4 linked regions of the Nothobranchius furzeri genome follow. The protein of the gene in region 3 purifies or fractionates together with the protein of the main gene of each other region. This does not show direct contact. Links are inferred from orthologs where the notes say so. Each region holds a gene or a part of one and is shown on either strand. Other genes may lie near its edges.

Region 1 (7,811 bases), on a different chromosome or scaffold from region 3:
CTGCTAGCATTAGCAACCCTACAAAATGGTCGAACTCCATCAGGCTTGTGGTGTTTGTGGAGAGAAAACGTCAACGTTGCAAAGCAAAAGGAGTCAGTGGTAGAGTGGCGTTCCTGCTAGCCATTCAGAGGCGAGATGTCAGAATGTCAGGAAATAAGACTCCAAATCGTTGTGTTCAGCTCAACTCTGATTTGGCTCACTTCTGGTTCCTTAAACATGAGCGCCAGAGCTTTTTTTTCCCCCACATAGACTTACAAGGCATTAATTTATACTAGAGACCACTTCAAATGTGGTGGGAAAAAACTGAACTTGGTCCTTAAGCCCAGTTCAGTTTTTGGACGAAGTAGCGCACCTAGTTAGGACCCGTTGAGCGTGGTATTTAGCTAGCTTAAAACCGACCCTGCTGCTGTTTACACCGATTTAATTAAGTAGCCACCTTTGCTAGAATTCACCCCACCAATGACTTACCATTGTGTGATAAACAGTGCATCACTTTACTCTGCAGCTGATTCAAAAGAGTCCTGATTCTGACCAGTTGTTTGTCTCTGGCTGGGACCAGATGCTGCTGTCAGCAGAGGGACAATATGTCTCATAACAGTGAAGCTCATCATGCAAAATAATAATGTCTTTTTCACACGCGGTCCTACATTGGAACGTTATTATTAGTATCCAGGAATTCAATGTCCAAAAATCCACTAACGCTTTGAGGGCTGCTAGTTTTTTAGATTGATAGCTGCTGTCCTTTGCTGCTCTCGTCTCTTTGTGCAAAGTAAAAGCGCTTCAAAAGGCTACAAACTAGCTTGATTTTGGATTCGCTTTATGGGAGTTTTATTGCATGCAAATAGTTCCTTTGATATCGTAATGGTGTGTATCCTATGAGCAGTGTGGCGTTTTGTGTAAAGGGTCACAAGGGAGGGCATGTTTAAATGAGGTCAAGCTTCTCCCACTCCTCACCCCTCTCCGTCTCACCCCTCCAGGCCCTGTTGACGGCCGTGACCTCCCAGCACATAGAAATCCACGAAGGTACGGTGCTGCAGGCTGTCCGCACCTGCTACAACATCTACCTGGCCAGCAAGAACCTCATCAACCAGACGACGGCGAAGGCCACGCTCACACAGATGCTCAACGTCATTTTCGCGCGCATGGAGAATCAAGCAGTACGTCTGTCCTTCTCAAAACAATTCAGCGAAGAGACAGAAAAGACGGCTTCTCTTTGGAGGCTGCTTTTCTAGAAGCTACTTTTAGCTACTTTGCTTTAATTGTTTTCTGAACTTTATTCTCATTTAACCAAAAGCCTTCTTTGTGTTCAGAGGGACATTTAAGGTGTTGCCTTCAAAGAAAGCTTGCTCTAATGTCATCTTTTTCTTTTTGAATGGCACTTTCCTCCCCCTCCTCACCTGCCTCCCCTCCCCCTTCCTCCCCCCCTCCCTTTTTGGACACATAGCTTACAAATCACAAGCTATCTTGGTCTCTGGCCTCCAGAAAGCGTGACCGCCAGGTAAAGCATGCAGGACTTGCAGTGACATTGCCTGATCGGAACTTTTCAGCTCCTATCCTGTGTGTGTTTGTGTCTGAGCTTTTCCCCTCATCCATCCATCCATCCATCCATCCATGCACTCATCTGTTCTCCTCATTTTGCTCCCACGCTGCACTCAGATTCAGTCTTCCACAGTATGCCTTGGCTTCCCCTCTCATCTCGCTTTTCCACAACATCTTAGTTTTATAAGTGCACCTAGTTGTGCTAAATCTTTGGTATTGATGAGTGATGAAACGCTGAAACAAAGAGACGTGGTAGCCTTTGAGTCCTATTATTGTGCTGCATTGCTGCACAGAGATATCCACTTTCTTACTTTGTGTGTGTGTCCCATTGGCTGCAGCTCAGCATGATCTGATCACACCTACACACACAAACACACACACCCATCACTGTCCAACTGAGGTGGCATTTAAATAATGAGCTTAGTTTGTTTGTGCTGGCTCGACTTTCCCCTCCGGAACATTTGTCTGGTCCTGCCGTTGCACGTTATTAGTCGTTTATGTCAAAGTTTTGCTTCACTGAATTTATTTGGCTCTATTTACTTGTGACAAAGGCAGCAAGCTCGTTTAATTTAAATCAAACGGCTTCATTAGAAACTTAGTTTTCGAAGAATAACGAGTCCGATTAAACCAAAATGCAGTAAACGCCATAAAACTGATAAATTTGTGTCGCATTTAGAGCAGGAAATGCTTCAATAAAAATTCATATAAGGCTATTTTGGTGTGCAATATTAGTATTGTAGAGAATTTTATTAAACCAGACTTAAAATATACTCAAAATATTTGAATTCCACAAGCAAATGGACCCAGATTTCCCTAAATATCAACAGCAACTACACGGCGAGTGCCAGGAATATTGGATTACTGAGGCAGATGAATAAAATTGTGATTGCCTGTTTTCCTAATATCATGCAGCTCAACATAATTGCTGTGCTTTGTGACTAAGTTTCAACATGAACATTTGCACGCCAAACAATTTGTGTGCATTTGCATTCCATACAGCTTGGGACCTGGCCATGTGGAAAAGATCTTGTAAAGGTGTCACATGTAAAGGATTTCTACTGCAAAGTACCATTTAGTTTTTTTCATTCATTTTTTGTGTTTTGAACTGGTTACCAACAGTGAGGGACTGACTGTAGGACATGCACACACGTAGCTGGGGTTTTTGGAAAACCTAATATCAAATCTTACCGATCTAGGAGAAAAGCTTGTTTTCAGCAAAAATCCAGTGTTGTGATGCACATTCAAACGTATAGGTGGCAGTAGTTCCCCAAGTTATTGGTGTCTCATGCTAAGAAACATTCACTGGTGATGTCAGAGCATTTTTATTGCAGGCAGTGGTGTTGCAAAACCTAAAACCCCGGCTATTTACGTCCACAAGCAAATGCCGACAACGGAGAATTCGTAAATCTCCACTTTGGTCGTCCATCCATCCATCCATCCATCCATTTTCATCCGGTTATCCGAATTCGGGTCACGGGGGCAGTAGCCTAAGGCGAGACGCCTAGACTTCCCTCTCCCCAGCCACTTGGGCCAGCTCCTCCAGGGGAATCCCAAGGCGTTCCCTGGCCAGGTGAGAGACATAGTCCCTCCACCGTGTCCTGGGTCTACCTTTAGGCCTCCTCCCGGTTGGACGTGCCCGGAAAACCTCACCAGGGAGGCGTCCAGGAGGCATCCTGACGAGATGCCCGAGCCACCTCAACTGGCTCCTCTTGATGTGGAGGAGCAGCAGGTCTACTCCGAGCCCCTCCCGAATGACTGAGTTTCTCACCCTATCTCTACGGGAGAGCCCAGCCACTCTTCGGAGAAAACTCATTTTGGCCGCTTGTATCCGCGACCTCGTTCTTTCGGTCACTACCCAAAGCTCATGACCATAGGTGAGGGTAGGAACGTAGATCGACCGGTAAATCGAGAGCTTTGCCTTCTGACTCAGCTCTCTTCACCTGGACTTCACTGCAGATGCAGCACCAATCCGCCTATCGATCTCACGCTCCAGTTTTCCCTCACTCGTGAACAAGTCCCCGAGATACTTAAACTCCTCCACTTGGGGCAGGACCTCATCCCTGACCCGGAGAAGGCATTCTACCCTTTTCCGAATCAAGACCATGGTCTGAGATTTTGAGGAGCTGATTCTCATCCCAGCTGCTTCACACTTGGCTGCGAACCACTCCAGCAAAAGCTGAAGATCACGTTCTGATGAAGCCAACAGGACCACGTCATCTGCAAAAAGAAGAGACCTGATCCTCAGGCCACCAAAACGGATGCCCTCCACACCTTGGCTGTGCCTAGAAATCCTGTCCATAAAGTTTATTAACAGAATCGGTGACAAAGGGCAGCCTTGGCGGAGTCCAACTCTCACTGGGAACGAGCCCGACTTACTGCCGGCAATGCGGACCAAGCTCTGACACCGGTCATACAGGGACCTAACAGCCTGGGCCCTGTGGGCCCCCCGAGGAACGCGGTCAAACGCCTTCTCCAAATCCATGAAACACATGTAGACTGGTTGGGCAAATTCCCACGCACCCTCCAGGATCCCCCTAAGGGTATAGAGCTGGTCCAGTGTTCCACGGCCAGGACAAAAACCCCATTGCTCCTCCTGAATCCGAGGTTCATCAATCCAATGGACCCTCCTCTCCAGAACCCCTGAATAGACCTTACCAGAAAGGCTCAGGAGTGTGATCCCCCTGTAGTTGGAACACACCCTGCGGTCCCCCTTTTTAAATACGGGGACCACCACCCCGGTCTGCCAGTCCAGTGGGACTGCCCCCGATGTCCACGCAATATTGCAGAGCCACGTCAGCCAACACAGCTCCACAACATCCAGAGCCTTAAGGAACTCCGGGCGGATCTCATCCATCCCCAGAGCCTTGCCACAGAGGAGCTGGTGGACGGTGGACCAGAATCTCCTCGAATCCGTACGGAAGTCTTGCTCCGTGGTCTCACCGAACTCCTCCCATGCCCGGGTTTTTGCCCTGGCGACCACCTGAGCCGCGTTCCGCTTGGACTGCCGGTACCCGTCAGCTGCCTCTGGAGTCCCACAGGCCAAAAATACCTTATAGGACTCTTTCTTCAGCTTGACAGCATCCCTAACCGCCGGTGTCCACCAGCGGGTTCGGGGGTTGCCACCACAACAGGCACTGACGATCCTGCGTCCACAGCTCCGGTCAGCCGCCTCAACAATGGAGGAATGGAACTGGGTCCATTTAGATTCAATACCCCCCACCCCCACCCCACCCCCGGAACATTTTGGAAGTTCTGTCGGATGTGGGAATTGAAGCTCCTTCTGACAGGAGACTGCCAGACGTTCCCGGCAGACTCTCGCGATACATTTGGGCCTGTCTGGTCTGACCGGCTTTGGTTGTAGTTTTTAAAAAATTGTTCCTGACACCGGGTATCTTTTTTTATTCAGATCACAGGCTAAACTGTAGAAAATGATCTTTGTTTTGTGAGACACCTGGTGGCTACGTGTGGACCTGGCCTTAGTTGTGAAAGAGATTTGGGTATTCTGAGTGTTGGAATCGGTTAGCCTGATCTGTGATTGCTAATCTAAAACTGAAAGCAGTTTGGTCCCTGAATGCATCGTCTTTGTGATGGCAGTACAAGCTCTTCCCTGCAACGATTTTACTACATGAATCATAATTTCACTCTTGATCGGTTTTTCTATGCAAGTCGGAGCTGTTGAAGTGTGAGAAATTGGCATCGGCTCTCAAAATCAGAATCGGTACATTTATTAACTGAATTGCAAATAAAATGAGGTTAAATTACAAACAAAATCAGGACTTGTTGTGACTAAATGACACCAAAACTGTAAAAATGCGTGAAAGTTTTAATATTTTCGTCCGTACCTCTCGTCATCTGTCTGCTTTCTTTTTAATCTGTTATTTTCTACAAATGCTCCAAAGCTGCTGTTGTGGGCTGGCTGAGAAAACTTGCACTGCTTGTATTTTTTTTCTAGCTCGTGTTTCTGTGACGGTTCAGATAATTGATCATCTCTGCTCTTAAAATTCAAATCAGAACCTAAATGTAAGCGTGCTCGGTGTGCAGCTTGAGAGGTGAAATCTCACAAAATTCAGCCGCATTTAATGCACGCTCTTGCAATGTCTTGTGACCCACTTTCAGCTCGAGAGCCAGCGAGCTGAAGCACGGCCACTCTTTGTCGCTCCCTCTATCAGAACTGCCATGACACATCAGTCAGGACGCGTCCGTAGGAACCATTGTCCACCATGGCGCCAGCATGAACTTGATCTCGCTGTGTTTCATTGCTCATTGAGTGGATTAACGTGTTGATCTGATGCATATTCACCCACCATACTGCAGAAACTTCACAGGTGTATTTTATGGTATCTTTATAAAATGTTTTTGCTGTGATCTTGATTTGGGCGCCGTTTGCTCACAGGAGAATTGAGTTGATCATACTGACAAATTAATGCTTTTCCATTTTGTCTGCTTCCTGTTTTTGTTATTTTGCTTCTTCCCCCCCCCCCCCCCCCCCCCCCAGCTGCAGGAAGCCAAACAGATGGAGAGAGATCGGCACCGGCAGCACTCCCCAGTCACCCAGCCCGCTGAGCCAGAATCCCCCCAGCTCCAGACCCACGTCCACTCATCTGCAAAGGCTCCCACGCAGGAGGCCAACGGGCCCGTCAGCCCTCCCACCCCCGGCACCACCTGCCCGTCCACCCCATCCACCCCGTCGACGCCCGCCCCTGAGTCCAACAGCAGGTCTGTGTCCGGGGAGCAGGAGGGGCTCGTCTACGAGAACCCGGACCCTGAAAATGGGTCGGAGTTCTGCGTGGCTGAAAATGAGCAAACGGAGGCGGACCAAGCCACCGCAGCAGCACAGAGTGAGACTTTTTACTTTCCTTCACCACAAGTTTGGGCGCAATAAAAATGTTGATAAAAACACTTGAAGTTGCAGGTTTAGAATCAAATGTTTGTGTTTTTAGTTTAAATTATGAGTCGGCGACCCTCCTCAGAGCTGAAGTTTTATTTGGATTTGGCTCATTTCTTATCGGATTTTCATTTAATAGGTGGATTTTTTTTTCTGTTCAGACTTTGAAGATTAAAGCTTCCAGCAAGCAGAACCGACCACGTTTCGGTCACAGCTGAATGTGTTGTTGTTCTAGATGCTGCATCCAAACAGCACGAAGGAGCGCGTAAAGAGGAAGAGGAGGAGGAGGAGGAAAGCCCAAACTACGAGGAGAAAGCCCAGGAAATAGTCCAGAGTATCCTGCAGGAGGTGGTCAACACTGTTGCAGGAGGTAAAGCTTCTTCTGTGGGCTTTAGCGGCATGTTTTTAAAAAAGGGAAGCGGCTAACCAGGCTGAGAGAGAGAACACCGCCGCGGTAGGCTGCGCTTCAGTTTGCTCACATCTCTGCAGAGAAGCAGCTTCAATTCCCGCATTCTCATTAAATCTTATTTCTGAGTAAAAAAAAAAACCTAACACATGCATCTCCTCTCATTAACATAAGTGTTGACGTTCATACTTCTGATCACCATTCTGTAAATCAAGGTGTGATTTTTAGGTTTAATGTCCTTTCATTTCCCTCAGATGCTGACATAAATAAGGGGAATCACCTTTTTTTTGCTGAAGTTTCTAAAAGCCATTATTTCTTTGCTCTGGCAGCAAAAAAATGGATAAATGTGCTTGTCCACATGAAAGACACGCTGCTTTCCCTTCTTTTAATCCTGCACAGGTTTTCAGGATTTGGAGGAAAACTGAGCAGAAATCTACTCCAGTGTGTTTTTTAGGGATTCTTTAGATTTGCTGCAAACATCTTTCGTCTTTTTTCTTAGTTAGAAAGCCGAATTAGCTCCAGTTGGTCATTAGAAATCACATGATTTATGTATGTTGTCCTCACAGGCCACTGTCTGGATCCTGCAAACCTCTGCTCCGACACCCAGGAGTCCGCCGCGGATTCGCAGCCCGCCATGGCGGGGACCGAGGGAACCCAAAGCTCGCTGGAGGACGAGGGCACCGTGGGGAGTGACAGCGAGCACGTCCATGCCAATGGCATTCCTGGAACTCCGATTTCTGCCAGCTTCACGCCCTCGTTACCCGATGACAGACTCTCCGTCTCCTCCACAGACACTCAGGTCCGAGGAAGCGGGACCATTTCAGAACACCTAATCTCTTGTTATAAATTATGATTTTTGTTTTCATTTACTGCAAATATATGAAATAATGAATTCATATTATATCATATTAGTCATAAAAGATTAATGAGCCTTTAATGTCACATATAAAAAGTCTAAAAAAGACTAACTGAAAACATTTA
Region 2 (7,811 bases), on a different chromosome or scaffold from region 3:
AGTATTCTACCCACCGATCCACAACATCCTGAGTAGAGGTTAGCAGCACGCCATCCCCACTATAGATAGTGTTGGTAGTGCCCTGCTTTACCCCCCCCCCCTGAGGCGCCGGATGGTGGACCAGAATCTCCTAGAGGCCGTAGAGAAGTCTTGCTCCATGGTCTCACCGAACTCCTCCCATGCAACAGGCCAAAAAGACCTGATGGGACTCTTTCTTCAGCTTTACAGCATCCCTAACCGCCGGTGTCCACCAGTCTACCAGCGGGTTTGGGGGTTGCCAGTCAGGCACAGACGATCCTGCGACCGCAGCTCTGGTCGGCCGCCTCAACAATGGAGGCACGGAACAGGGTCCATTCAGACTCAATGTCCCCCGCCTCCCCCGGAACATTTTGGAAATTCTGTCGGAGGTGGGAATTGAAGCTCCTTCTGACAGGAGACTCTGCCAGACGTTCCCAGCAGACCCTCGCGATACGTTTGGGCCTGCCTGGTCTGACCGGCATCCTCCCCCACCATCTGAGTCAATTCACCACCAGGTAGTGGTCAGTTAACAGCTCCGCCCCGCTCTTCACCCGAGTGTCCAAGACATGCGGTCACAGGTCAGATGAAACAACAACAAAGTCGATCATTGAGCTGCGGCCTAAGGTATCCAGGCGCCAAGAGCACACATGGACACCTTTATGTCTGAACATGGTGTTCATTATGGACAATCCATGACTGGCACAGAAGTCCAATAACAAAACACCACTTGAATTCAGATCAGGGGGCCGTTCCTCCCAACCACACGTCTCCAAGTGTATTCTTTTTTATATTTTACATTTTTTGTTTTTGTGAAGCGCCTCGTGATTTTTCTCTTGAGGCGCGCTATAGAAAAGAGCTTTACTTCTTCAAAAAGGGTGGGTAGTCTGAACTGTAGTTTGGTGCATACGCACAGACAACAGTTAGGACCCGTCCCCCCACATGTAGACGGAGGGAGGCTACCCTCTCGTTCACCAATGTACAGGCACCAAGATGTGGGGCAACTAGTATGCCCACCTCTGCTCGGCGCCTCTCAGTGGGAGCAACTCCAGAGAGTGTCCAGCCCCTCTCGAGGAAACTGGTTCCGGAGCCAGAGCCATGCGTTGAGGTGAGTCCGACTATTTCTAGTTGGAACCTCTCAACCTCACACACCAACTCAGGCTCCTTCCCCACGAGAAAGGTGACATTCAACACATCAAGAGCCAGCTTCTGTAGTCGAGGATCAGACCGCTAAGGTCCCAACCCTCAGCTACCACCTGTTACACACTGCATCTGACCCCTGAGGTCCCGCTCATGAGTGGTGAGCCCATGGGAAGGGTGACCCACGTTTCCTCTTCGGGCTGTGGCCGGCTGGGCTCCATGGACCAAAATAAAGGGGGGCAAAAGGAGATGTTTTTCTAGACGCCAAGAAAAATTAAATGCCAAATCCCCCCTGCAAAGTGTGTCACTGAGAGTTTAAAACAAAAATTATTCTTGTGCAAATGTTGGCATATTCACCTTTAATACTAGTTATTAAAATGCAGCAGTTGCTGGATTGGTGCAGTTCAAAGTGGAGTGCATCAAATAAAACAATATTAACACAAAGGTGAGACGTGTCATAATTTAACCCCCCCTCACAGCTGGAAAAATGCCTAGGGGAAACACTGCAGGCGCTCGCCAAGGCGCTCCACCTCCAGGCCTGGCTCCAGAGGGGGGCCCCTGTGACCCACGTCCAGGCGAGGGAACACTGTTTTGATATATATTTTTTATCATGAAGGGTCTTTGCGTTTCCCTTTGTCTGGTCCCTCACCTAGAACCTGTTTGCCATGGGTGACCCTAACAGAGGCATAAAGCCTCAGACAACATAGCTCCTAGGACCACTGGGAAACTCAAACCCTCCACCACGGTAAGGTGGCAGCCCAGGGAAAAGTTAAACCCGAGTAATTTTAATCATATGTTTAAAAACTGTAAAACACGTCAATCAAAGCATGATTTTTTTAACCAAACAGAAAAAAACAATAAAAGACAAAAATGACATCATCACCAGCTTGTGCCCCGGTCCCAGTGTCTCACCTTTCGGCAGGTCGTCTCCCGTCTTGTTGGTAGACATGGGAGGAATCGGGGCCATCTCGCCTTTGTCCCCCTGGGGGAACCCGGGGAACAGGGGGTCTTGGTAAATCTGAGACAGCTGCTGGAGGGGGATAGCTCCAAGGGGGTGATGAGAATGAGGAGGACTAGAGGGGTAAGGAGGCTGGGACTGCTGGGGGGGAGGAGACTGGGGTTTCTCAGGAGGGGGCGGGGCTTCAGCTTGACTCTGAACACTGGGAGACGATGGGACCTGGGAGGGTCCTGGAGGCGGGTGAGAGGACTGAGTGTGGGTTTCTAGTTGGGGCTGAGGAGCTGAGGACTGGACCTCTGTGGGACTCTGGGTCTCAGGTAAACAGGGCGGAGCTCGTTTCTCCTCCTCAGACACAGAAACTGGGTCCAGGTGGGGAGTCACAGGGGCCTGAGACACAGGTTTCTCCATCTGAGAAGTCTGCAGAGTTCCTTCAGTCTGGAGCAAGACATCTACAGAAGACAAGACAGTGTGAGACACGATGACGAGAAGTGAGACTAAATTATTTTAATCTGACATCGGCTGATTTCTCACCTGCAGTTGGAGTGGGAGGGACTTGTTTTTCATCAATGGGAGGAGCTTCTTTTATTTGAGAAAGGGGAGGAGGTTCTTTTTCTTGATGAGGCAGAGATTCTTTTATTTGAGGAGGAGGTAATGGGGAAGACGGGGGAGGAGGGGGGGAGAAGGAGCGTAGGAAGCAGTGAGCAGCTGTGGGACTGGGAGCGATGGGCGCAATGAAGATGGGCTCAGACACTGATGAAGAGGATGGGGGAGTATCAGACCTGGGAGGGGAGGAGGACATGGAGGGAGCAGGAGGTGATGAAGCAGCAGGGAGGACAGGCGTGATGAGGGTGAAGAGAGACGGGACGGAGGGTTTGATGTTGGCTGGGGGAGAGCTCAGATCAGCAGCTGAAGTGTAGGAAGGTGTGTTTGATTTAGCTTCTCGGGCAGCAGAGGCAGGTGGGAGGGTGGGGTCAGTGGTCGGTAAAGTGGGGTTAGGAGCTATAGGAGGAGGAGGAGTGGAGGACTTGGGTCTGTCTCCAGAAGAGGGCGCCAAGTCACTGACCTCTTCAACTGGACTCTTCTAGAAAAACACAAACATGTTAAAAACACCAGAGAAGAAGAACACAGTGAGCAGATTCAACTAAACCGAGTCTAAAAATAGAAGACAACATTGTGGTGGTAACCATGGCAACAGCTGCCTGGAGAACTGTTTCGGACTAAATACTAGATCAAACCGCCATCAACCCTGGAAACATCAAGTCTGAGAAACGAGTCATGTTAATGCTGCTGCCAGTGGCTCATTTGGGTCGCCATGGTTACCACACAAAGGTCATGGGAGCTGGGCGGTGGATGTGCTCAGGACACAAGAACACCATCAGCTGTTTCTAGCTCCAAAGGGGGTGGGGCTTCCTCACCGTCTTGTGTCTTTGAGACTGTCTCTTCTCTCCTCCCTTCTTCCTCCCTCTTTCAGCCTGAACCACAGTGTGAGTCTGAGAGGAAGTAAGTAGGTGGATCTTAATCTGGGCTGAACAGATTATTATTCTCTCATTCTAGGATTCTGAGTTCCTAAAATAAACTAAACCTTCAAAATTAGCAGTTGCTGAGGACAGAGCTACTGGACTCACCTTGAGGGCGGGGAAGCTGTGTTCGTCTCGGAGTTGGATCTCCATCAGAGCCATGTTCATCTCCTCTTCTACTTTGGCCTGTCGCTCCTTCGCCGTCACACCAAATGCTGCCTCCAAGGAGCTCACTGATGTCCTGCAGAAACCAACGGTTACATCATCAGCCTTGTGCTGGCCCCAGTGAGGTCATCTGGGTTTGCAAAGCGGTGGCCATGAGTTAAACCCAAACATGGGTCCAGGCAGAGGTGGCTGCTATAAACGAGTTTAAATTAAACACTCAAGTCCTGACCTGCTTTTGGGCCCTCCCTGCTCCTCTGTGGTGGCCTGTGGGGGCCACGAGTTCTGCTTCTGCACACGCCCACTGGAGCCTGTGGTCGCTGTCTGGGACACGGCAGAGTAGGATGCTGGAGTGGGCTTCCCTCGTCCTCGTCCTCGACCCCTGTCCTCCCAGTCTGAGACAGCAACAGAACATCATTATAATCCTTAAAACATCAAGATGCTTTGCTTGTGTGTAACCTAGCCGTTAGCTCATCGACCCTCTTTTTACTTCATATAAACGTGTCTATGGCTCAGTGACCTCAGCAGGAGCTTAAGACAGACTCATTCAGTGAGACAGGAAGTAAAGCTACAGCTCAACATACACATAAAAATAAATAGAATGAAAATAATAAAAACCCCTTCCATGAAAAAAACTTTTTAACCATCCTGCTAGTAAAGCGTTGGCAGGACATGAACTTGTGTCACCTCCGTGTCCGTTGCTCAGCTTCTTCTCTCGGACAACGGTGCTCCAAGTGTTTTCCGCGCTGTAAGGTCGGATGTTCCACAGAGGCACCTGCCTGCAGACAAGACCACCTGTCAACCAGCTGAGTTAGCACAAACAGCGCCATCAGTGTATCACTGTGTGTGTGTGAATGGATGAATCATACACTAGCGTAAAGCGCTTTAGAGTCCTCTGACTCTGAAAAGCACTTTATAAGTGTGGGTTATTTATCATTTAACAGCAGCGTTAGCAGCAGTACTAGCAGCATTAGTGGTACTAGCAGCATTAGCGGTACTAGCAGCATTAGCAGTACTAGCAGCATTAGCAGTACTAGCAGCATTAGCAGCAGTACTAGCAGCATTAGCAGTATTAGCAGCAGTACTAGCAGCATTAGCAGTACTAGCAGCATTAGCAGCAGTACTAGCAGCAGTACTAGCAGCATTAGCAGTACTAGCAGCACTAGCAGTACTACCAGCATTAGCAGCAGTACTACCAGCATTAGCAGGAGTACTAGCAGCATTAGCAGTACTAGCAGCATTAGCAGCAGTACTAGCAGCATTAGCAGTACTAGCAGCAGTACTAGCAGCACTAGCAGCATTAGCAGTACTAGCAGCATTAGCAGCAGTACTAGCAGCATTAGCAGCATTAGCAGTACTAGCAGCAGTACTAGCAGCACTAACAGTACTAGCAGCATTAGCAGTACTAGCAGCATTAACAGCACCAGCAGCATTAGCAGTACTAGCAGCATTAGCAGTACTAGCAGCATTAGCAGCAGTACTAGCAGCATTAGCAGCAGTACTAGCAGCACTAGCAGTACTAGCAGCATTAGCAGTACTAGCAGCATTAGCAGCAGTACTAGTAGCATTAGCAGTACTAGCAGCATTAGCAGTACTAGCAGCATTAGCAGTACTAGCAGCATTAGCGGTACTAGCAGCATTAGCAGTACTAGCAGCATTAGCAGTACTAGCAGCATTAGCAGCAGTACTAGCAGCATTAGCAGTATTAGCAGCAGTACTAGCAGCATTAGCAGTACTAGCAGCATTAGCAGCAGTACTAGCAGCATTAGCAGCAGTACTAGCAGCATTAGCAGTACTAGCAGCACTAGCAGTACTCGCAGCATTAGCAGCAGTACTAGCAGCATTAGCAGTACTAGCAGCATTAGCAGTACTAGCAGCATTAGCAGCAGTACTAGCAGCACTAGCAGTACTAGCAGCATTAGCAGTACTAGCAGCATTAGCAGCAGTACTAGCAGCATTAGCAGTACTAGCAGCATTAGCAGTACTAGCAGCAGTACTAGCAGCATTAACAGTGCTAGCAGCATTAGCAGTACTAGCAGCATTAACAGCACCAGCAGCATTAGCAGTACTAGCAGCATTAGCAGTACTAGCAGCATTAGCAGCAGTACTAGCAGCATTAGCAGCAGTACTAGCAGCACTAGCAGTACTAGCAGCAGTACTAGCAGCATTAGCAGTACTAGCAGCAGTACTAGTAGCATTAGCAGTACTAGCAGCATTAGCAGTACTAGCAGCATTAGCAGTACTAGCAGCATTAGCAGCAGTACTAGCAGCATTAGCAGTACTAGCAGCATTAGCAGTACTAGTAGCATTAGCAGTACTAGCAGCATTAGCAGTACTAGCAACATTAGCAGTACTAGCAGCATTAGCAGCAGTACTAGCAGCATTAGCAGTACTAGCAGCATTAGCAGCAGTACTAGCAGTACTAGCAGCATTAGCAGTACTAGCAGCATTAGCAGCAGTACTAGCAGCATTAGCAGCAGTACTAGCAGCATTAGCAGCAGTACTAGCAGCATTAGCAGCAGTACTAGCAGCACTAGCAGTACTAGCAGCATTAGCAGCAGTACTAGCAGCATTAGCAGTACTAGCAGCATTAGCAGCAGTACTAGCAGCATTAGCAGCAGTACTAGCAGCATTAGCAGTACTAGCAGCATTAGCAGCAGTACTAGCAGCATTAGCAGTACTAGCAGCAGGACAACAGTGTTCTTGGAACTCGTTTTTCCAAGATAAGTTAGCCGGAAATTACGCCATGATCTTAGAATTCTGAGCTGCGACCTTTTATGCTTCAGTGGACCCCAAGATCCCAAATTTAAAGATGGCTGTGCCCAGCGCTAGAAGGAAGTAGTCTTCATTTATTTTTTCCTCATTTATATGTTCTGTTTCCTTTCTTTTTGCTATTTAACAGCACAGAGGAGTTGTTTATTGTTGTTATCAATAGTTATGTTGTTTATGGTTTCTACTTTTCCTGACATTTATATTTTCACATTTGATTTGTAATGTTTTTCTGGTTTTATGTGGAGACTGTCAGGGCGTGTTTGTCAGTATCATTTAGATGCAGAGAATACTTGGTTACAAGTTATTTTGGTTATAAGATCTTTTAGTCGTCAACGACACTGGTGGTGCCCATTTTTCGAGAGGGTGCTCGCTGCAGAACTACAAAGGCGGAGCTGCACCATAAGGTGGAGCTGCACCAGAGTCAGCCCCGCCCATTCACGCAAACTCAGCCTAGCCCACTGACTTCCGTTTTTGTTTTCAACTTTATCGCAAACTGACCTGACCCACATGAATTACGGCTGTTACTAGTTTACAGTCGTTAATGCTATGTTCTATGCTCCAATTAAACAAGATAAATATAACTTGCTACATGACAAAGTCTGAATATATCCCGAAATAAAAAGGTTTTTCTTAGCGAATATCTGCCCACAGCCGCTCTAACAAAAGTCCTGTACAACAGCATGTACCATTCCCATGTGTGTTCTGTTAGTCCAGTGGCAAGATCGTCTGAGTTGAGTTTTGCTTTCCCCTCAGCTGATGCTGGTTCGATTCTCGGTGGGGTCGGCAACAATCTATTTAGCCAGCTGAAACATTTAATTTGTTCATATTTAATTGTAACGTTCATTTTCAGCAAAATATTTATGTCTCTACCAGTTCTTTGAATTTGGTCGTTCCTAAACAGCATTTTAGTTGAAACTCTGCTCACAGATGGACTCACACTGGCTAAATGAACAAATGAATAAATAAAAAAACACATTAGTCATTATATGTTAAACGGCATACCAATAAATTGTTGTAAACAGTACTGGCAAGTGTAGCTAGACATGAAGAAAAGAGGTTGTACACTACCTAAAACTTACACTAATGGGAGGCGAACCTGCACAAAACTGCATGTCAACCTGATTCCATAACCACTACACCACCACATCTGTTATAACTCATTCGGCGTTACATCTAATTGTGCTTCCCATTGTGTCTCTGAGATGGGTTGTATGGTTTATTGGCGGTGTCTCAGTAGAAGTCATTTT
Region 3 (7,415 bases):
CCCTAACTGCCCAAAAAATGATTAGGAATCTGAGTTTTAACTGTCAAAGCGGATTAGACAATAATAAAAATTATTTATAGCCTCGTTCTGGGACCCATGACCCGACTGGAAAGGGGAGGAGCTTGGGCTCCTGGAACCAAAGTTTAGCCAAAAAGAGAGTTAATAGGAAAACGCAACAAATTTTTATGAATATTTTAGAATAAAAACTGCAGTTTTAATGTGAATAAAATTTTAATCTGGTTTTATTTATAATCTCACCCAATAAAGGTTTCATCTCAGTTAGATGCGACTTGATTCATGTACTTTTTCTGAGTTTGATCTTGTTCAGAGGATTTTAGCGGCTTCTTCATCTTTAATTCTGCTCTGATTTTATATGAAATAAAATCGACACAAACTGTATTGAGTTTGTGCTCCATGTTGTATTATCGAACCAGCGTCTGAACAAACGGGCCTAAAAGTCCCGCTGACTCGCATCAGCATTTGAACAGCAAGGTACATCTAAGGGGCGGGACTTAAAGGTGTGGTTGACTGAAAAAACATTTTCTAATTATGAATGTAGTTGGTCACTGTGAGGTTTTCATGCAGGCTGAACATGACAACAGTCATGCCGTTTCCTACGTTAGATTATGATAGAAAAAAGATAGTGGAATGCTAGGATTTGAAAATAGTCACACTGTGATGTCACACTGATGAATTAGCATTCATAGCCTCGCCCATCTTGGCTCATGCCTGCCCACAGGAAGGCTTTTCTAATTGTTTTTGCAGCGAGGAGAGAGAGCGGAGAATTTCTTGGTGGTAGCGACTTTGCAACATGGCTGAATGCGTTCTGTTAGCCAATCAGAAGTGTGGTGTGTGCATATCATTAATAGTAATGAGCAATCCTGCTGTTTTCAGCCCACCTCTACACCAGCAAACTTCTGCATCTCCAAACAGGAGCATCGTGGCCTTTTTTTATGACTCCCACGGCATTGATTTACAGTAGAATGAGTAAACCACACCTTTAAATATCATGGAGCCGCCGTTAGGAGGACAGTAGAAGGCCCATGGCCTCTCTGACCTCGCACATATCTGTTTTCAGGAGCAGACGGTGATTTGAACTGAACCACATGACTCACCAACAGTAACTGTGCTGATTTATTGGTGTTAACTTTGGGACTTTGTTTCTGATTCTTCGGACTTCAGCACCTTCACAGTGAAAAATGGGAGACTGGAATTTCCTCGGAGGGATCTTGGAGGAGGTGCACATCCACTCCACCATGGTCGGCAAGATCTGGCTGACCATACTGTTCATATTCCGGATGTTGGTGCTGGGCGTCGCTGCGGAGGACGTCTGGAACGATGAGCAGTCCGACTTTGTCTGCAACACCGAGCAACCTGGCTGCCGCAATGTTTGCTACGACCAGGCCTTCCCCATCTCCCTGATCCGCTACTGGGTGCTTCAGGTGATTTTTGTGTCCTCGCCCTCCTTAGTGTACATGGGTCATGCCATCTACCAGCTGCGTGCTTTGGAGAAGGAGCGCCACTGCAAGAAGGTGGCTCTCCGACGGGAGCTGGAGGCAGTGGATGCAGAGATGGTGGAGGTGAAGAGAAGGATCGAGAAGGAGATGAGGCAGCTGGAGCAGGGGAAGCTCAACAAAGCACCGCTTAGGGGCTCGCTGCTGTGCACCTACATGGCTCACATCGTCACTCGCTCCGTGGTGGAGGTTAGCTTCATGATGGGTCAGTACATCCTCTACGGACACCGTCTAAACACTCTGTACAAGTGCGAACGGGAGCCGTGTCCCAATATGGTGGACTGCTTTGTCTCCAGGCCAACAGAGAAAACTGTCTTCATGATGTTCATGCAAGTCATCGCCTGCATCTCCCTGTTCCTCAGCCTGCTGGAGATCATGCACCTGGGCTTCAAGAAGATAAAGAGGGCCATACTGAACTTCTACCCCCACCTCAAGGACGACCTTGATGATTATTACGTCAACAAGTCTAAAAAGAACTCGGTTGTCCATCAGGTGTGTGTGGGGACGTCAGTGGGACGTAAGACCACCATTCCCACAGCTCCCAGTGGATACACACTGCTGCTGGAGAAGCAGGGCAACGGACCAAACTACCCCCTCCTCAGTGCCTCCTCCGCCTTTGTCCCAATACAGGGAGACCCCGGGGCCGTCCCAGACAGCCGCAAAGACGTCAAAGAGGGGGTTCCGAGCCCGACGGAGCAGAACAGCAACTCCAACAACACCAGCAGTGAGACACGTTCACCTCCTGTGGACAAGCAGGACGAGCCTGAGGAGCACTCTTCCTCCCACCACGAAGATCTGGAGTGTGGGAGCTCGGAGTACCCCACCCTCTCTGTGGCAGACACCTCCACCTGCACCACGCTGTCAGCCGTCGCCAGGAAGTCCCGGAAGCCCAGCCCGTCGTGGAACTGCTCCACGGTGATGGAGGGGAACTGCTCAGACAGCGGAGACTCCTACCACGGAAACAGCAGCATGAAGCTCCGCAGCGGCTGCGCCGGGCCAAGAGCCAGGGTGCTCTCCAAGTCGGACTCAAAGAGGCCGAGTGGATCCCAGAGCCCGGACTCCGTGGGGGAGCTGAGCTCCATGTCTCGACACAGCCGGGAGAGCAACAGCCCCACCACCTCCTCCCCAAACCGAAGAGCGTCGGCGGCGAGCAGCGGCAGCAGCAGACGAGCCCCGACGGACTTACAGATCTGAACCCGTTAAGTCCTGATCCGGTTCTGGTGTCGTGTTTCCAAACGCAGCCAGACTTGGATCAGTGGCTCTCCAGACTTCCTGAGGAGTCTCTCTTTGAACTCTGGCTGATTTTTCTCTTAGTGTCAGTTTTTATCGGAGAATCTTTTTAACCTCTGATGAAAAGTGTTCCTGATGAGGTCTGGATCAAGACTTTTGCACAGCTCTGTACATGTAAACACAAAAACCACAGGCTGCAGTAGAAAAGATGCTTTATGTAGTTTTCTGTCATGTTTCAAAAGCTTTGAGAGAAACTGGTCTCTGCGTTTCCAGGTCAGCCTCAGACATCCAGATCGACATTTAACGATTCAGCAGGATGGAGACGCGGAGGGATGGAAAAGCGAATCATCGATCGCTCGTGTTCCAGTCAGCTGTTGTTATGTAAACACTTTTAGTTCAGCAGTGAGTTAATCCACCTAAACAGTTTTAGAGGCTGATGGCCTTTTGTGTTTTGGTGTTTTTATATGGAAACTATTTTTCTACTTGATGCAGAAGATTTCAGTTTGAAAGACTGAAAAATTTAAATGGAATTTTTAAAAAAAGTGAAAAAATATGAATTTCTGATCAAATGTTTTGTTATTTAAAAAACGAACAGTGATTTTGTCTTCGTTGATTATGTGATGATAAAACATTTACATTCTGCACAAAACAAAAGCCAGTGATGAATGATTTTATTTCCCGGGACCCCCAAAAGCAGCACCGCAGCCGTCCTACACTCCAGCTCTCTCCTCAGGCGACGTCTCGTACTGCATCAGCTGTGAGACAAACAAACCGTCAGACGTTCCCGACGGAGAATCCGGGGTGAACTCTGACCTGTGGATGCTTACTCTGTTCTTCAGCTCCTTGTTCTCCTCCATGAGCAGGCTGCACTTCTGCTGCAGATCAGCCAGCTCCATTCGAAGCGCCTCTGAGTCTCTGGGTTCTGGACCCGATGTCCCGAGGTGGAGTTTTATAAAGCTGAGTCTCTGGTTAAGGTCCAGATCCTCGTCAGTCAGAGCTATAAGATGCAGTTTAGTCAGTCTGCTGCTCCGGAGCATACAGGTGTGTGTAAGGAGAAAGAGGAAAACCCTCAGCAGCAACTTTAGAGAAGCAACTGTTGCTGCCAATCAATCTGGGAAGGGTCAAATGTCATTTTAGCTATTTAGAGACAAAAATGGAGAACATACAAGATTTTGTTTAAAATAATTATTTTAGGACAACAACTGAATCAGTTTCAGCTGAAAATGATAACTGGCAATAGCGAGTTAACATGATTAATCTGGAATGTTCAAATCTTCTGAAGTCTGGAATAAAAAGTGCTTCAGATCTTCTATAATTAGAACGAAGGATACTCGAGGGCGTTGTTGGGTTTATCTGGTTCTTCATAAAGAGCCACCAAGACTACAAAACAGAAACACACATGAATCCCCGCCACCTGAACAAATGAGCGCGTGTGTGTGACGGTAACAGGAAGAAGGGGGCGTTAGGATGTCCCACCGCTCGTTAAAGTGTCCAGAACTCCAGATCGTTCGAGGTATCTCCTGAACTGTTCTCGCTTTGACTCGGACGCCTGTAACCCAACAAATAGTCACATTAACAATTTTTAACTAAAATATGAACGTTTATTGTTTGAAAAATCACCATTAAACAGAACACGAGAAGCATCTGAGCCTATGGTGCGTTCACTGTCCGGATGCTAACTAGTTAGCACACGCTACGTGAGTTTAACCTCAAATACGAACAAAATGTAAAACATTTCTGATAAACACGATATTTATCTCTTTATTACTCACTCTATAGTTGGCCATGGAGACGGTTAAAACCTATAATTTGGTGATAGATGAATAGATAGGTTCCAGACCCAAACACACAGCAGCTTGTTTTGTACGCACTTCCGTCCACAAACAGGTGGTCTGTTGCCATGACAGCACGTAAAGCGGAAATGATGCCGCTGGTAGTTCTCTAAACAAATGTTTCTAACTCTTTAAAAAAATAAATGTTTCCTGGTTACGTCATGTGACACAAGGGGAAAAAACAGATTGGCCGAATTTTTATTTCTACATCCAGGTAACAAAAAACTGATATATCGGTAACATTTAAAATAAATTGTTTAAATGGAAGAAATCCAAAAGCGCGATAGTTTGCTAGCGTAGTCCGGACGTGTTTTTTTTTACTTTACAGTAGATTTATCGTACATTTGATTAACGTACAGCCATGAATAACGCGAATTGCACTAAATTAAAAAAATGTTCCTTCAGTCTTCGTGGGTTCAGAGTTCAGGAATGTCCGGCGCTTTAACCCATAGATATCATATATATTAGCTAGATCCCTCACCCGCGCTGTTCGTCAATGGACCCTGACGTCCGTTCGCGGCGGCCATCTTACTTCGGACAGCGGCCCTCCTCTAACAGTGGTGTTTAGTGGTGCGTGCACTATTTAAACAACTCTTAACTTTCTCAGTTTTCAACCGATTTTCATACGGTTTGATTTTTTAGAAACATTAGAGACGTGGCTATGAAATATGTCAGTATTGGCAGGAAACTCCCCTTATTTCACTCCACTTTCCAGCCGTTTTCCCCTATCCTGTAAATTTCCCATACTTACCATTTTATTGTCAACAAGATCTGCTTCTGATGAACTAGCTGTAGTTTGTAAACTCTGCCTGCCACCACTCACATTAAAGGTCACACCCTGGATTTAATCTGCTGCTCCGGCCTGACCCCCTCCAACTGTACAGCTGACCCGCTCCCTTTCACGGACCACTTCCTCATCTCCTTTTCTGTTCCCCTCCGTCTCTCCGTCATCAAGTCACCCCGTATCATTTCATTTCGTAATATTAAGGACATTGATCTAGCCTCCCATTCCTCCAGCTTTGCCACCCTGACCCCAGATTTATCCTCTACTCCCGATGATCTTGTCATTCAGTACAATAACGGTCTGGTTTCAACCCTTAATCCATTTGCTATCATCAAATCCCGCTCTGTATATTTCACTCGGTCTGCTCCATGGTTCACCCCTGCCCCACGCTCATTGAAAGCCAACCGGAGGCTTGAAAGACTCTACAGGAAAACCGGTCTCACCATCCATAAAGACTTATATTCTGCTCAGATTTCTCTCTACAAGGACTCCATCTCCTACGCCAAATCACAGTATTACTCCGGTCTCATCTCGTCCAACTCCAGCAACACTAAGACATTATTTTCCATCATGAACAGCATTTTTCAGCCTCCCGACTCCTTACCCATCCATCTTTACTCTTCAGAAACCTGTAACTCTCTCCTTCAGTTTTTAATGAGAAGGTCAATAGAATCCATCTCTCTTTACCTCATTCCTCCCCTCCCTCTCCTGATTTATTTGAACCCTCCATTCAGTTCTCCTCCTTTGAACTTCCCCATCCCTCAGAACTATTAGATTACACCACCAAGTCCAAACCTTCCACCCGTCAGCTAGACCCTATTCCAACAGAGTTAAATCCTGCCTTTCCTCCCTGCTCCCCTTTATAACAGCTGTTATTCATTCCTCACTATCCTCTGGTATGGTCCCCTCCCTATTCAAATCCGCTTCAGTCAGCCCTATTCTAAAAAAACCTGGTTCAGATCCCAATGATTTCAATAATCTCCGTCCCATTTCCCACCTTCCCTTCATTTCCAAAGTTCTAGAGAAAACCGTTGCATCTCAGTATTTTTCTTTGAGCCGTGCACTCAGCCTCAGCTAGAGAACTGTACGAAGTAAGATGGCCGCCGTGTAAGGACGCTGTCGACTCCCGGTTAGGGGATCTAGTTAGTATGATATCTATGCTTTAGCTCAGCGCCGTCCAGGAGTAGAGGAGGAAGAACCAATCACGTGCCTCGACGTCACAATGTGACCACTGACTTATAAACCATATGCGCTGCATTAACTGGTAGGCGAAGACAGTGGAGTCTTTAGTAGATCTGTTCTTTAGTACTTGCCGCTGCTCATGTGACTTTTCTTTCTCTTGAATTTCGGATCAACAGCAGCAGCCTCGGTGTTCCACCGGTTTCAGGTTCACGTATCCACACAACCGGAGGACGGTTTCAGGTACTTTAATCGTTAAACAGGTGGGTTTTGTTAAACCGGGAAGTGACATGTTGCCTACAATGCAGCTTTTAGGGGTGACAGACTCATTTCTGCCTCAAAAGCGAACATTTTGTTGTTTTTGTCACATGGCAGCCATGCTTTGTGATTTAAGTTTCAATAATCAAAATAATGATTATTTTTCAAATTAAACAAGCTGATAGTTAATTATTTAACGCATAAGCTTGATTACCAAGAAGCTACAGACATCATCATTATTATTATTACGTAATGATATGACAGTGTATTAAATCTGTTTTCTGTCACTAACAAAGAAACGTTGCGTTCTTAATAACTGTATTAACATCTGGCTGTAGGGAGCACTGACAGGACCCTGTTGGACCTTTAAACACTAATCACGTGATCATATTCAGTTCCTCTTACTAAATGTCATTGCAGAAAAAATATTCTTTTATAATCAGCATGTTGAAGACATGGGAACGTTCTTCCTCTTTGTAAGTTTTGTGTTCTCAGGAACAGAAACAAGCAGTTCGATGATCAGTGATTGTCTTCAGATGGTTTCTGGAAATCTCATGAGGCATCGCTCTCATGCTCGCAGAGTGTTGCTTGTGTCACGTGGAGAAGATACGTTAAATA
Region 4 (7,811 bases), on a different chromosome or scaffold from region 3:
CGCGTCGCCTGCAGCTTCAGTCAGGCTCATACAGATGCGACGGTCACGTGGAGAATCATCCGTTGCTAACAGGCACAGTTGGCAAAAAGCCAATCGGACCGAAGGCTTCATTTGTTTTTAGAGCGGAAAAGAAAAGTGGGGCAACAGGATCTGCAACAATAAATTATATTAGAGTCGTTTTTCCTTCTTGTTCTGGTCGCTGTAGGATGAAAGACGACAGTCAGCAGGAAGCGCCGGTCACAGAGCTGCTCATCCCCGAGAGAAGATGCCAAGTCCTGAACCAAGACCCACAACCTCCTCCGGACTTTGTCTCCGTCTCGGATCCGGACCAGCAGAAGGGAGGAAAGATTCTCAAGTATCAGGTCCACCTTCAGGTTTCCTCTCTACGGATCCACAGCATCACCTGGATTCTGCCTAGGAGGAGGGAGTCCGGGTGGGCGCCCCCTCAGGAGCGGCGATCTGGAAGACGGAGCCGATGCGCAGGAAGAAGCGCCGGAGGACGGCCCGCAGCTCCGGGATCAGGTCGAACTGCATCATTTCACACAGGTGGGGGTAGTAACAGGAAGCATGGGGCTTAAACTACGGAGGACAGAGATGAGCGTTAAACAACAAAGTCCCAGAATAAAGTGTTTCAGCTGCTTTCGGAGCAGGTCTCCGTCCAGAACCAGCTAAATCCCAACAACACCGGGTGGTCATGCATGTCGAACCATCACAAGTTGCTTCTTCAATCATATCTTTAATATGTGATCTATAATCTGTAATCGCTTTGGCCTGAGGTGCTCTGGAAGAACCGAGTCGTGGGGAGGGCCAAGAGTCGTCAGTGATGAGGTTTAGTACCACAAAAACACGTTAATGGATGGATGTATCATAATCCAGCTCTCCTCTATGGAACACGTGTGTGTGTGTGTGTGTGTGTGTGTGTGTGTGTGTGTGTGTTCGTGCCTTGCCGTCGGGCAGCCGTAGTGTTCTGGTGAGCAGCAGCATCAGCAGGCTGTTCCACGCCTCTCGGTGGCTCTCTGAGGTCAGACTGATGAAGTAGCTCAGAGCTTCGGTACACACTCTGAACCAGGAAAAACACACACGCACGCGCACACACACGCACGCACGCACACACATGAAACAAACATTACTCTAATGAGTTTGCAGTTAGCAAATCAAACTAGCTTAACGCGGCGGCTAATAAACCAGACTTCAGCACGATCGCGGTCGTGACTCGCAGCAGACCCGTGACCAGCGAGGCGGGTCACTTAAACCCACGCGGTCATGAACTAGCCAGATGTTGGAGTCCTGCTCATCCACCAGAGAGCTGGCAACAATAAATCAATCAAGGACGACATAATTCAGCTTTTTTCCTCACATCTGTTAAAACGACATCTTTAAGGCACGAAGCTGCTCCTGCTGACATCTTCCTGTGTCTCCACAAACCCAGTTTTTATCTGCAGACCCGGTACTGCTGACAGCAGAACTCAGTCACAGCTTCAGCAAATCATCCAGGCTAAAACAGCCCCCCCCCCCGCCGGACTTCAGCCTCATGCTTTGACGACACGCTGCAGGTCAGTACTCACAGCAGCAGGCGTGTTTGGATGTCGGGCCACGAGTCCTGCAGCTTCAGGTCGGAGTACATCTTAAACAAGATCCTGAGGCTGCAGGCGAGGCTGCTGGTTTCCTGCTTCAACAAGTTGGGCTTCGATTTCCCCTTAAAGCCTGCGAGCAGAGAGGACACCTGCCATTAAAGTGAATGCACGGGAGTCTCTACGCCTGAACTTCTCCTTTTTCCACGATCCAACACCGATCTCATGAACCAGAGGAACAGCGAGGCCTGCAGCGGCTTACCCGCCCTCCAGAGAGCCGTCCTCTGCTCGTTGTTGGAGTTGAAGTCCTTGGCAAAGTTGTGCGACTCCAGCAGACAGTCCAGCAGCTTGAAGAGGTGAGCTGAGGTCATGTGTCGGTACATGCCCTGATCCGGTCTGGAATCCTCCCAGTCAGCCTCCGACTCCTCCAGAGCATCTCTCTGGAAGACATTTGAACTGCTAAGTGCAAGAAGGCGTCCATCCCCGACTGGAGAACGTAGTTAGGGTTAGTGACCTCTAACCGTAACAGAGTTAGGGTTTGAACCGAGTCATGGGCTCGACACGCGGGAGGCGACCCGCGGCAGCGGCAAAGCCGCCAACGCGTTCTGTTCCATGGCGAAATCGAACCTTCCGTTGTTTTGATTGGCTGTGTCAGGTTGGAGGGAGTTAAGGTTATTTAAGCGGTTCAGAGTTAAAAACGCGGTACATGTGATGCGTCACAAGGTGCTGCTAGAGTTATGTGAAATCTTACTTCTGATTTTACTATAAAAAAAACAAACAAGAATGGGTTCGTCCCGTGTTACAAACCAGAGAAAGAAACGGAGAAAACCATCATTTATGAGGGACCTCAAGGATAGTCCTGATCAACTCCGGACCTACCGTCGCCTCAGTCCAGAGCTACTTGTCCATCTTCTCACCCTGGTAACCCCAACGATAGAGAAGATTCACACAAACATGAGAGAACCCTTTTACGACCTACGTCATCAAAAGTTGCGCGCGCAGCCTGGCAACGAGAGTGAAGGCTTCCTCATTCACACTCGATACTAAAACAGCGTTTTAAACCCTTTGTTTTGAATTTCTGAGCACATAAAAATGTCGGGTTGTTGCGTGTATGGATGCCAGAATCGCTTCTCTTCAAGCAGTGGACTGAAACTTTACAGAATTCCGAAGGGAGCACATCCATTTCAACAAAACCGGAGGCGTCTGTGGCTGCAGGCCATCAAAAGGGTTGATGAAAACTGGACTGAAAACACGATCCGAAATGCTCGAGTTTGTAGCGCCCATTTTATATCAGGTAAGGTAATTATGTACTAAGATTACACCAGAAAGCTGGTTAACGTGTGTTCTACTGAGATGTAACTGCTGCCTTTTCTGTTTTTCCCATCCTAACACAAAGCTCAACTTTGAATAAAATTGCTGCTGCGTGGCGGCAGCATGACCCAAGTCTGGAACATCAAAATGACAGAATTAAACAAATTTATACGCTTTATTTCATGCTCCAAATTAACATTTCATTCTAATTCATCTGTATTTTCCCACTGCATATTAGTATAAACTGTATTTCTCTAAAATTAACACGATTGTACTCTGAGCACGCTAAAAAAAGAAACCTATGCTATACTCACCCTGCCATGCAGGTACAGTTGGCTGTGAAGACATAGTTCTCTGGTTTGTTTACTATGACCCAAGCCTCGTACGTAGCAGTCTTGTGTCCTTGTCTTTGGCTAGGAAGGACTTCTGCCTTCAAGATTCAAAACTCAGAGTCTATGTCGTGATATTTTACTTTCTGTACGTGGCCACAGACAACATAGTTGTATGCATCTAACGATTTGTATGCCCGTAGCTTCTCACGTGTGTACTTACTGGGCCTCTCCACTAAAACGTATATACAGGTGCTGGCCAGTAAATTAGAATATCATCAAAAGGTTGAAAATATTTCAGTAATTCCATTCAAAACGTGAAACTTGTACATTATATTCATGCAATGCACACAGACCAATGTATTTCCGATGTTTATTACGTTTAATTTTGATATTTATAGGTGACAACCAATGAAAACATCAAATCTGGTATCTCAGAAAATTAGAATATTCTAAAGGCCAATGAAAAAATGTTTGTTTCTCTAATGTTGGCCAACTGAAAAGAATGAACATGAAAAGAATGTGCATGTATAGCACTCAATACTTAGTCGGGGCTCCTTTTGCCTCAATAACTGCAGTAATGCGGCGTGGCATGGACTCGATCAGTCTGTGGCACTGCTCAGGTGTTATGAGAGCCCAGGTTGCTCTGATAGTCGTCTTCAGCTCCTCTGCATTGTTGGGTCTAGCGTATTGCATCCTCCGCTTCACAATACCCCATAGATTTTCTATGGGGTTAAGGTCAGGCGAGTTTGCTGGCCAATCAAGGACAGGGATACCATGGTCCTTGAACCAGGTGCTGGTGGTTTTGGCACTGTGTGCAGGTGCCAAGTCCAGTTGAAAGGTGAAGTCTGCATCCCCATAAAGTTGGTCAGCAGCAGGAAGCATGAAGTGCTCTAAAACTTCCTGGTAGACGGCTGCATTGACCCTGGACCTCAGGAAACAGAGTGGGCCAACACCGGCAGATGACATGGCACCCCACACCATCACTGACGGTGGAAACTTTACACTGGACCTCATGCAACGTGGATTCTGTGCTTCTCCGCTCTTCCTCCAGACTCTGGGTCCTTGATTTCCAAAGGAAATGCAGAACTTGCTTTCATCAGAAAACATAACTTTGGACCACTCAGCATCAGTCCAGTCCTTTTTGTCCTTGGCCCAGGCGAGACGCTTCTTGCGCTGTTTCTTGTTCAAGAGTGGCTTGACACACGGAATGCGACACCTGAATCCCATGTCTTTCATGAGTCTCCTCGTGGTGGTTCTTGAAGCGCTGACTCCAGCTGCAGTCCACTCTTTGTGGATCTCCCCCACATTTTTGAATGGGTTTGTCGTCACAATTCTCTGCAGGGTGCGGTTATCCCTAGAGCTTGTACACTTTTTTCTACCACATTTTTTCCGTCCCTTCGCCTGTCTGTTAATGTGCTTGGACACAGAGCTCTGCGAACAGCCAGCTTCTTTAGCAATCACCTTTTGTGTCTTGCCCTCCTTGTGCAAGGTGTCAATGATTGTCTTTTGGACAGCTGTTAAGTCAGAAGTCTTCCCCATGATTGTGATGCCTTCAAAACAAGACTGAGGGACCTTTTAAAGGCCTTTGCAGGTGTTTTGAGTAAATCAGCTGATTAGAGTGGCAGCAGGTGTCTTCTATATTCAGCCTTTTCAGAATATTCTAATTTTTTGAGATACCAAATTTGGAGTTTTCATTAGTTGTCACTTATGAATATCAAATTTAAATGTAATGAACATTGGAAATACATTGGTCTGTGTGCATTGCATGAATATAATGTACAAGTTTCACGTTTTGAATGGAATTACTGAAATATTTTCAACCTTTTGATGATATTCTAATTTACTGGCCAGCACCTGTATATCGGGCCACGCACCTACATCTTCCACCCATTCCGTAATGCCACAGGGATCCGGGAGTCTGTTGCCATTCGTTAAAGTGAGGTTAATAATATAACATTCAAGATTTGCCGGTGATAACCCCGCAGCGTAGCTTGATAAAGCCTGAAACATGACGTCATATTGTTTACACACAGTAAAAGGGTCTATAAGCTGCGGTTCTTTTCCTCATCAAAACACAAGAGAATGAGACAACTGTGTCCTTACAGCGTGGGGCGGTTTATTTGTACAGTTCAGCAACACACCACCAGTAACTCGGGACAGCGTTCAGCCAGAACGCAACGGGCCGCCGGCTGGATCTCAGAAAAAGCCCGCTTACACCGAAGATGCGACCCCAGTTATACTTTTTACTGACGTCACTTCTGCATGGCTTAGGAAATGGGTCTCACATACACATGAATTGGAAACTGTTTGGGGAGTCTTTCCCAGCAACCCGTGCAACGAGACAGGAACCATCCGCTGCTCTTGACTTCCCGATAAACATTCAGATAAATGTTAGTCTCACTGGAAATTATGCAAACTGGACTGAAGACAGGATGTTAAACATCTCGTACACAAACGCAGCTCTTGGCTCCTACAAAGCCCAGAAGAACGACTTGCTATCCGTCTAAGGTAAGTTAATGATAAACAATAATTATATTTTCATATACACTCACCTAAAGGACTATTAGGAACGCCTGTTCAGTATTAGTCTGGTGTTCCACCTTTAGGTGGGTGTATTTTCTTATTACGTGTACACTCGGAGAGCATCCTCTCCGCTCATTGGTCAGTGAATGAAACCTCCGTTGGTCGGTCCTCGTCCGAGCGACGGCGATGAAAAGTTGAAAATATTTCAACTTTCTGGGTCGCCTGTGCACGCCACGTGCACGAGCGCAAAATTTCACGCGCGCGTTTCGCGTAGTAGGTGGGAGACCCGCGATTATCGCATGTCTCATTGAACATGAATGGAGAGGCGACGTCGCCTCCCGTGTGTCGAGCCCGTTAGTCAGCGAGCAGGAGAAAGCTCTTCCAGGTTAAATGAGTCCCCAGCAGGTTTTCTTCTGCTGTTTCTGCAGGTTAGCACGTAGGCTGAACTTTGACACCATGACACACCCTCGAAGGTGAGGGTCTTCTGCGTGACTACCTGCGCTGCAGCCATGTTTTCAGCATCCTCCTTCTTGCTGGTTGCTGGGAAGAAGACGATGTTGTCTACAGTCTGGATGAGCTCGAGCTGCACGACACATTTAATCAGCAGCCCTGCAAACAGCCTCTGGTCTGAGACTCCTGGGGAGGGATTAAGGTTTAAATGACTCACCATCGGAACGATCGGAGGCGTGTGCGGCTTTATTAAACTCACTGGCGTTGGATCTGCCCTTCCAGGTGTCGTCGCTGGACATCTGGCTGTGTCCTCTCTCGGACAGAGCTCTGTCGTAGCTGCTCTGAGACTGGCTGTCGAAATCTGCATCCTGGAGACGAAAAGTAAAAACATGATCACAACCCCGACTGCAGCTGTTGCCCCCGCGACCCGACTCCGGATAAGTGGAAGAGAACGCATGGATGGATGGATCCCAACATTTTTAACTGGATTAAAGCAGTTACTCTAGCGATGTACGAGATGGTTTGCTTACAAAGTGCTTCCCGTCTGCAGCTTCCTCGTCTTGTCCGGCCGGTCGCCAAGTCAACAACCTGACGTGGAAAACAAACATGGCGGCAGGTTGAGAATCAGGCGATGCATCCGTCACAGCTCTGAGAGGCGCCAACGTTCAACAGCAATGCTGGTAAAGCCTCCATGCACCCGACCGTCTCTAAAACCCGATGAGGAGGGAACCGACACTCACACGTGAGGGCTGGTGTTTTGGAAAATCTCCAGCATGCACGAGCAGGTGACGTTCCAGACTTCTGGGCTGAACTTCTCCCCGTTCAGGATCACCAGGTTCTCCAGACAGTTAGTTCCCGACCGGGCCAGCTGCTCGTTATCTGCAGTCGGGAGACGAGAGACTTCTGAGTTCTCTACGAGAGATCCCGACGTGTGCTCATCCGGGTGTCCTGACTCTCGAGTGCAGACGTTGACCACGGCCCTTTTGCACCCTTGATGCGTACTTGGGTGAGGACTCGTAGGGTTGGGCATCGAGCATCGATTGGAACCGGTTCCAACTGTTCATTTTTCCCAGAATCGTTCAAAGTTTTTTTACTTCGATTCCTCGAATGCCGACGGAAGAGCAATCCGCAGCCGATCTCCGTGAAAGCTAAACGTGATCTGCAAATTGTGATCGATGCTTTTCAGAGCTGAACACACCAGCTGTTGTACACAGAATAAAATTCATGTTGACGTTCAGATTATTTCATCAAGTAGGACCTGTGGTTAGCTGGCTCATGTAAAACATGTTACGTCTTGAAAGAATCAGTATCGGGAATTGATCGGAACCAGAATCGAAACGAGGAATTGGAATCGGAATCGTTCAAAATCAAACGATGCCCAACCCTAGAAGGCTCAAGCGCCTCTTCTGAAAATATGCATTTTCTAATGGAAGTCGTTCATTTTAGGACGATCAGCTGATGCTCTGAAACTTTTAGACAAAGCAGCAGTGAATATAAGTTTTTCTCAAATAATTGTTTGTTTGAAAGCTGTTAATAAAGGCTTAAAAAAAAGTACCACAGCGACCAGCATGTGTTGCTGTGCTTACGCGATGCTCCCGGTCTGAAGACCGCCGGGCGCAGTGCG

What was found.
Region 1: the proteins of mycbp (region 3) and arfgef1 purify together in Homo sapiens (co-immunoprecipitation; 4 studies listed by BioGRID and IntAct, with this or other methods). This does not show direct contact. The link is inferred for Nothobranchius furzeri from reciprocal best matches to the Homo sapiens genes MYCBP and ARFGEF1.
Region 2: the proteins of mycbp (region 3) and otud4 purify together in Homo sapiens (co-immunoprecipitation; 3 studies listed by BioGRID and IntAct, with this or other methods). This does not show direct contact. The link is inferred for Nothobranchius furzeri from reciprocal best matches to the Homo sapiens genes MYCBP and OTUD4.
Region 4: the proteins of mycbp (region 3) and arfgef2 purify together in Homo sapiens (co-immunoprecipitation; 4 studies listed by BioGRID and IntAct, with this or other methods). This does not show direct contact. The link is inferred for Nothobranchius furzeri from reciprocal best matches to the Homo sapiens genes MYCBP and ARFGEF2.

The regions. Positions count from the first base shown.
Region 1 is NC_091747.1:51,775,534-51,783,344, reverse strand, and holds part of arfgef1 (brefeldin A-inhibited guanine nucleotide-exchange protein 1), read left to right. Parts: intron 1-977; coding exon 978-1,157; intron 1,158-1,444; coding exon 1,445-1,498; intron 1,499-6,034; coding exon 6,035-6,377; intron 6,378-6,659; coding exon 6,660-6,794; intron 6,795-7,396; coding exon 7,397-7,629; intron 7,630-7,811. UniProt on the Homo sapiens protein: Promotes guanine-nucleotide exchange on ARF1 and ARF3. Promotes the activation of ARF1/ARF3 through replacement of GDP with GTP. Involved in vesicular trafficking.
Region 2 is NC_091742.1:88,799,087-88,806,897, reverse strand, and holds part of otud4 (OTU domain-containing protein 4), read right to left. Parts: intron 4,572-7,811; coding exon 4,480-4,571; intron 4,188-4,479; coding exon 4,025-4,187; intron 3,872-4,024; coding exon 3,739-3,871; intron 3,604-3,738; coding exon 3,529-3,603; intron 3,195-3,528; coding exon 2,645-3,194; intron 2,563-2,644; coding exon 2,068-2,562; intron 1-2,067.
Region 3 is NC_091759.1:25,186,967-25,194,381, reverse strand, and holds mycbp (C-Myc-binding protein), read right to left. Parts: upstream 4,668-7,415; 5' UTR 4,532-4,667; coding exon 4,517-4,531; intron 4,294-4,516; coding exon 4,221-4,293; intron 4,125-4,220; coding exon 4,076-4,124; intron 3,702-4,075; coding exon 3,572-3,701; intron 3,500-3,571; coding exon 3,455-3,499; 3' UTR 3,399-3,454; downstream 1-3,398. Other genes in the region: gap junction alpha-9 protein, read left to right, coding at 1,200-2,708. UniProt on the Homo sapiens protein: May control the transcriptional activity of MYC. Stimulates the activation of E box-dependent transcription by MYC.
Region 4 is NC_091755.1:48,056,404-48,064,214, forward strand, and holds the end of arfgef2 (brefeldin A-inhibited guanine nucleotide-exchange protein 2), read right to left. Parts: intron 7,067-7,811; coding exon 6,928-7,066; intron 6,776-6,927; coding exon 6,718-6,775; intron 6,556-6,717; coding exon 6,447-6,555; intron 6,374-6,446; coding exon 6,234-6,373; intron 2,012-6,233; coding exon 1,834-2,011; intron 1,705-1,833; coding exon 1,566-1,704; intron 1,061-1,565; coding exon 943-1,060; intron 580-942; coding exon 415-579; 3' UTR 207-414; downstream 1-206. UniProt on the Homo sapiens protein: Promotes guanine-nucleotide exchange on ARF1 and ARF3 and to a lower extent on ARF5 and ARF6. Promotes the activation of ARF1/ARF5/ARF6 through replacement of GDP with GTP. Involved in the regulation of Golgi vesicular transport.